Linked DNA regions of Cricetulus griseus. The protein of the gene in region 1 interacts with the protein of each later gene in a biochemical or structural test. Links are inferred from orthologs where the notes say so. Each region holds a gene or a part of one and is shown on either strand. Other genes may lie near its edges.

The links.
Region 2: the proteins of transcription factor AP-1 (region 1) and Runx2 form a complex in vitro, tested with the Homo sapiens proteins (2 studies listed by BioGRID). The link is inferred for Cricetulus griseus from reciprocal best matches to the Homo sapiens genes JUN and RUNX2.

Annotation. Positions count from the first base shown.
Region 1 is NC_048595.1:53,811,046-53,815,267, forward strand, and holds transcription factor AP-1, read left to right. Parts: upstream 1-1,370; 5' UTR 1,371-2,239; intron 2,240-2,356; 5' UTR 2,357-2,460; coding exon 2,461-3,465; 3' UTR 3,466-4,203; downstream 4,204-4,222. UniProt on the Homo sapiens protein: Transcription factor that recognizes and binds to the AP-1 consensus motif 5'-TGA[GC]TCA-3'.
Region 2 is NW_023276807.1:30,828,270-30,830,925, reverse strand, and holds the end of Runx2 (runt-related transcription factor 2), read left to right. Parts: intron 1-811; coding exon 812-1,407; 3' UTR 1,408-2,033; downstream 2,034-2,656. UniProt on the Homo sapiens protein: Transcription factor involved in osteoblastic differentiation and skeletal morphogenesis. Essential for the maturation of osteoblasts and both intramembranous and endochondral ossification.

The DNA of each region.
Region 1 (4,222 bases):
CCTGTAGCCTGGTACGGCGGGAAGGCCCAGGGGGAATGCCGAGGCCGGCAGGGAAGGGGACAGTGAGTTGACCAGCTTCTAGTACCGGCATCAAGGAAGGTAATACTAACGCCTGGCAGCCCGGTACGGTGGACCTCATCCGCTCTACTTGCAGATGAGGCCAATAAAGCTCAGAGAAGTTCCGAGATTGCAGTTAGGCCATGAGAGAACCGAGCTTGCCACCTCTTTAGTCCTAAGTGGTGGAGAATGGAGGTCGGATAGCAGAACCCTAGGACAAAAACCACTTACATGTGTCTAGCGCTTCCTAGAGGCCACACAGGATATGAATCCACCAGCGGGCGGGGAGGGGAGACTTTAGCCTGCTTCTACCAGGGACTCCCGCTTAGGCAGCGTGACTTTCGGGCGAGTCGGCGGCGGCTCTCAAGACTTGTTTTCCCAGAAGCAAATCAGGAGCTGGGGGGTGGGGGGTAGGGCGGGCGCGGGTTGCGTATGCGCGAGACGCGCCCGGGCAAAGGCGATCGCTGGGGTTTCCTGAGTTTTGAACCCTTAAATGTTGATTTTGACCCCCATGGATGCTGGGGTCGCCCCTTTATTTCACGTCTAGAAAGCGCGTCCCTCTGAGGCAAAGCGAGCCCCTCCCCGCATGTCTCCAGAGGGTGAAGTGTTGTGCCGAGGACCCTGACGAGTCGGTTCTTAGTACCGCAAATCTCTAGCTTCCAGGTAGAGCACACAGCGGCACAGATCCTCCTCTGGAACTTAACCAAGAGATAAACTTCCACGCGTGCTCAACGTGGGAGGGACACTCAAGCCCGTTCAACTTCAACACACTTTCTCGCTCCCGCACCCGGGGCGCACACAACCATCTTCACCCGCGCCGCTGCCTCCCGGAAGTGTGGGGGTGCAGAGCCTGCTGGAGCTCAGGTCGCTCAGCCCCTTCACGTGTGTGCGTGTGTGTGCGTGTGTGTGTGTGCTTGTGTGTGCGTGCGTGCGCGCGCGCCACCTCCACTCCCCACCCAGGCCTTCCGCCCGGGGCCACTAGCGAGCCTCCCCAGCTTTCTGGATGCCGGTGTCTCGATCCCCGTCCCCAACCCTGAACTTGAGCCCGCCTCCGACAGACGCCGCAAGGGTCCAGCCGACCCGGCAGCCTCCGTCACTAGACAGCCAAACCAAGACGTCAGCCCACAATGCACCGGGCGGGCCGGGAAAGACGCGCCGGGGAGGGAACCCGGGAACACAAGCCTGAGCGCCGCGCGGGAGGGGGAGGGAGGAGGAGAAAGAAGGGCCCAACTGTAGGAGCGCAGCGGAGCATTACCTCATCCCGTGAGCCTTCGCGGGCCCAGAGAAGAATCTTCTGGGGTGAGGTCTCCATGGCGACAGGCGGGCCCGCCCCCCTGAGAGCGACGCAGGCCAATGGGAAGGCCTTGGGGTGACATCATGGGCTATTTTTAGGGGTTGACTGGTAGCAGATAAGTGTTGAGCTCAGGCTGGATAAGAAGGACTCAGAGTTGCACTGAGTGTGGCAGAGACGTCCTGGCAGGAACGCGCTCAGACAGAGAGGCAGAGAGAGAGAGCGGGACGGACGGAAGGAAGGACGGACGTTCTCGGCCAATCTGGACGGCCGCGGACTCCGGGCTGCTCATCTGTTTGTCTTCATTTTCTCACCGACTACCTGGACCCAGCGCCCGCGGCTCCAGCACCGGTGTTTTGGGGAGCACTTGGAGAGTCCCTTCTCCCGCCTTCCCCGGAGAAGCAGCTCGCAAGTCCCTGCGCTGCTGACAGCATCGAGAGCGGTGCCTGCCCGAGCGAGGAAATAGGCGAGCGGCTACGCCGACCACCAACTTTCCTGACCCAGAAGACCGGGAACAAGTGGCCCGGAGCGAACTTTTGCAAACCTTTTCAGCGCCTTAGGCTGCCCCCGAGACCGTAAAGAAAGGGGAGAAGAGGAAGAACCCACACTCAGCCCCGCTCGCACAGGCGGCTGAAGTTGGGCGAGCGCTAGCCGCGGCCGCCGAGCGTCCCCCTCCCCCTCACAGCGGAGGAGGGGACAGTTGTCGGAGTCCGGGCGGCGGAGCCCGATCGCGGGCTTCCACCGACAGTTCCGTGACGACTGGTCAGCGCCGCCGGAGAGCTGCTGTCGCTGGAGCTGGTCTGCGGTCTCCGAGGAACTGCTACTACCCGAGAGCGCTCCGCGAGTGACCGCGACTTTTCAAAGCCCGGCAGCGCGCGGGAGCCGACCAACGTGAGTGAAGGCGGTACCTTAACCCTGCGCTCCCTGGAGCGAGCTGGGGAGGAGGGCGCAGGGGGGGAGCACTGCCGACCGGAGCGCGCGCTCTTAGACAAACTTTACTTGTCACAGACGCAGGGACGCGCGGGTGTCCCCCGCTTCCCAGCGCGCTGTTGCGGCCCCGAAACTTCAGCGCGCAGCCCAGACGAACCCCGCGTGAACTGACCGACCGTTCTATGACTGCAAAGATGGAAACGACCTTCTACGACGATGCCCTCAACGCCTCGTTCCTCCAGTCCGAGAGCGGCGCCTACGGCTACAGTAACCCCAAGATCCTGAAACAGAGCATGACCTTGAACCTGGCCGACCCGGTGGGCAACCTGAAGCCGCATCTCCGCGCCAAGAACTCGGACCTCCTCACGTCGCCCGACGTTGGGTTGCTCAAGCTGGCGTCGCCCGAGCTGGAGCGCCTGATCATCCAGTCCAGCAATGGGCACATCACCACCACGCCGACCCCCACCCAGTTCTTGTGCCCCAAGAACGTGACCGACGAGCAGGAGGGTTTCGCCGAGGGCTTCGTGCGCGCCCTGGCCGAACTGCATAGCCAGAACACGCTGCCCAGCGTCACGTCGGCGGCACAGCCGGTCAGCGGTGCGGGCATGGTGGCTCCCGCGGTGGCTTCGGTAGCCGGCGCCAGCGGCGGCGGCGGCTACAGCGCCAGCCTACACAGCGAGCCTCCGGTCTACGCCAACCTCAGCAACTTCAACCCGGGTGCGCTGAGCAGCGGCGGCGGGGCGCCCTCCTACGGCGCGGCCGGGCTGGCCTTTCCGTCGCAGCCCCAGCAGCAGCAGCAGCCGCCTCAGCCGCCGCACCACTTGCCCCAACAGATCCCGGTGCAGCACCCGCGGCTGCAGGCCCTGAAGGAAGAGCCCCAGACCGTGCCCGAGATGCCGGGAGAGACCCCGCCCCTGTCCCCCATCGACATGGAGTCTCAGGAGCGGATCAAGGCGGAGAGGAAGCGCATGAGGAACCGCATCGCCGCCTCCAAGTGCCGGAAAAGGAAGCTGGAGAGGATCGCCCGGCTAGAGGAAAAAGTGAAAACCTTGAAAGCGCAAAACTCGGAGCTGGCGTCCACGGCCAACATGCTCAGGGAACAGGTGGCACAGCTTAAACAGAAAGTCATGAACCACGTTAACAGTGGGTGCCAACTCATGCTAACGCAGCAGTTGCAAACGTTTTGAGGACAGAGTGTCAGGGCTGAGGGGCAATGGAAGAAAAAAAATATAACAAAGACAGACTTGAGAACTTGACTGGTTGCGAAAGAAAAAAAAAAGTGCCCGAGTACCGAAGCCAAGGGTACACGAGATGGACTGGGTTGCGTCCTGACGGCGCCCCCAGTGTGCTGGAGTGGGAAGGACGTGGCGCGCCTTGCCTTGGCATGGAGCCAGAGAGCGGCGGCCTGTTGGCTGCTAGGCTTTGCGATCGGGCTGTGCCCGCGAGACCAGAACGATGGACTTTTCGTTAACATTGACCAAGAACTGCATGGACCTAACATTCGATCTCATTCAGTATTAAAGGGGGGCGGGGAGGGGTTACAAACTGCAATAGAGACTGTAGATTGCTTCTGTAGTGCTCCTTAAGAACACAAAGCAGGGAGGGCTAGGGAGGGGAGGGAGGCTCGTGAGTGCCAGGCTAGACTGCAGATGAACTCCCCTGGCCTGCCTTCCTCAACTGTGTATGTACATATATATTTTTTTTAATTTGATGAAAGCTGATTACTGTCAATAAACAGCTTCCTGCCTTTGTAAGTTATTCCATGTTTGTTTGTTTGGGTGTCCTGCCCAGTGTTGTTTGTAAATAAGAGATTTGAAGCATTCTGAGTTTACCATTTGTAATAAAGTATATAATTTTTTTATGTTTTGTTTCTGAAAATTTCCAGAAAGGATATTTAAGAAAATACAATAAACTATTGAAAAGTAGCCCCCAACCTCTTTGCTG
Region 2 (2,656 bases), on another chromosome or scaffold:
TGGATCACCAAAGGGTGGGGTCAAAGAAACAGAAGGCATAGAAACCAAGAGCAAATACTTGCAGGAATTGGAGGAGGGGCCTTGGACAGTTGACTTGAGTGACACTCAGGACCCACTGTAGAGTGATCATGGAGTGTGCACTCATAGGTAGCTAATGTGCATACTGAGGTAGCTGAGGTAGGTTATCTGCCTGGATGTAGGCCCTTTCCTAAAGAGTTGTAGTCTACTTCCTACTGGAAGGTTCAAAGGTTCAGGAGAGTGTGTGCATGCCTGTGACACACATGACTGCTATGAGCTGCAGACTGGACAACTTATAAGTCCTGAAGGGTCATTGGACATTATATTGATGGAGAAATGAAGCCTTGTCCTCAAGGAGGAAGGACAGGACTTCCTAAGAATCCCACAGTATCATCTGTCCCAGCAAGAATCAGAATGAACTCTCCTAATGTTGTCTTCAGCCCCCAGTGTTGCTGGAAAGTGTGTGTGTGTGAGTGTGTGAGTGTGTGAGTGTGTGTGTGTGTGTGTGTGTGTGTGTGTGTGTGTGTGTACATGTGTGTTCATGCACACGTGTGCATGCATATGTATTTATCTGTTTAACACAGTTGTGCTTCTGAGATCTTGGGCTAGGCTCCCACACTGCCTACTTCCTTCTTGGGATACCGCCTGCCACAGTCGTCCTTACTGGATGTCCCTCTGAGTGGTATGAACTGCAGTTCCACTTTTTTGCTCATTTTCTTAGCACCTAATGTGTGACTGACCACAGAGATAACTCAAATGCCCCAGTGACCTTTTCCCTCTTCTTGTTTGACAGATTCAGAGCCCAGTACCTTGGACTCACAGTCTTCCACCACCTTGTTCCTGTCCTCAGAGGAGCCTGGCCCTTCTACAGCTGCACTGCCATCTCCATCCTCCTCCTGTGAGCCCCAGGCCTTCTCCCCAAGCTCCACCATGTTGCCCTCTCTCCTGCCACCTCTGTCCACTGCCTCTACAGCTCCAGGCCCCTGCATCCCTCGTCGTGGTGGGCTCTACACCATTGTCACCTCCTCCCCAGAGGCTGCACCCCACCTTGTTGACTGGCTGCCCAACTGCCCCTCTGCCACCTCTCCTGGTGTCCGAGGCAAGGATCACGAGCGACCACAGCCTGTGTTGGCCCCAGCTCCAGCTTTGGAAAGGGGCCACATTCAGCACCCAGGCTCTGCCAGGGATGATCATGCCGAGGGTCCTAGAACCTCCCCACCTCCCTGTGCCCCTGAAGTCACTATTGCTACCCTGGAGGCCAATGTTGGGGACATCCTGGTGGAGCTTCGGACAATGAATGGCCACCTGGACATTATAGCAAAGGCTCTCACTAAATTGGCCTCTTCCCTGGTACCCCAGCCCCAACCTGAAGCACCAGATACCAATTAAGGGAGTCTTGCATCTCCTAAAACAAAGGGATGCTGAGGGTACCACTCATCCCTGCTTCTCTGACCCTACCTGTGATGGAGATAAGCAAACCCGGTGGAAGAGCCAGTTACAGAACTAGGTTTGCTTACAGATTGGTCTTTCACTCAAAAGATGGAGCATCTCAAGCTGGTTCCAGGCATGTTGTAGCCTCTGTGCTTTCCTCCACCTTCAAATGCCCTTCTCTTATTTTAAATTCTGGTGAAAGCACTTCCAGAAGACTGTGTCAGGGCTTGGATCAAGGCGATTAGAGAAACAACGTTCCCTCCCAGTCCTCTGAGCCAAGAGAAGAGAGAAGAGGAGATCCTGTCGTCGTCATCAGAAACACCCTCCAGGACACCTCCAGCCTTCCTTTCTTGAGATGCTCATGGTGTGTCCACCCCTAGTGGATCTCACACACCTCTTTTCAAAAAGTATCTTTAGAAAAACAAATCAAGTTTCCTCATTTATACCTATGTTTCAAAAAGTTTGGGACATAGAGAAGGGATAAAACAAGGACATGGCAGAAAAGCTATGGGGGGTATTTAAGTCTTTCTTATTAATAAGAAAGCATCTTGTGTTACAAATAAAGTGTGCCTCTGTAGTCTGAGCGCTGGCTTCTGAGTTCCCCTCCTGTTCTCTGCTTTCTTCTTTCAGGTCATCATGGCTTCTCACCCTCCCTTACTCCTGGAGTCTTCAACTGTTTTCAGTACTTAGGATGAAGAAGCAGCTGAGGCTACTCACGAGTCTTAAAACTCTCAGTTCTCCCTAAATCTAATAAATTCATCTTTCCCCTCTGAACCGGAGTGGAAACCTAGTGACAGACAGTAGCCAGTGAGGAGGAAGCCAGCATCCCTGGCCTCTCTCTTCCCTAGATGTCTGCCACTTTCCCTACTGGGGACAACTCAAACTGTCTCCAGATGTTGCCAGTGTTCTCTGGCAGAAGGTCATAAATTTAGAAAAACCGACGTCCTCCTGAGGTCTCTCTTTCCCTAGTGGGGGCAGGATTCTTTTCCACCTTCCTTTTTGAAGTGGAACACACAGATACTGCCGGGGCATTCGCCAGAAGCTGACATCCTCAATAGGTCACTCAGTGGAAGCCAGTCGTTTCCCCAGAAAAAAACAAAACAACAACAACAAAAAAAAACCAAGGGTCTGAAGCCATATCACACTGTCGCCGAAATTTTCAGGGCACACAACTGGTGCACAAATAACAGCAGGGTCTGTTCAGTTG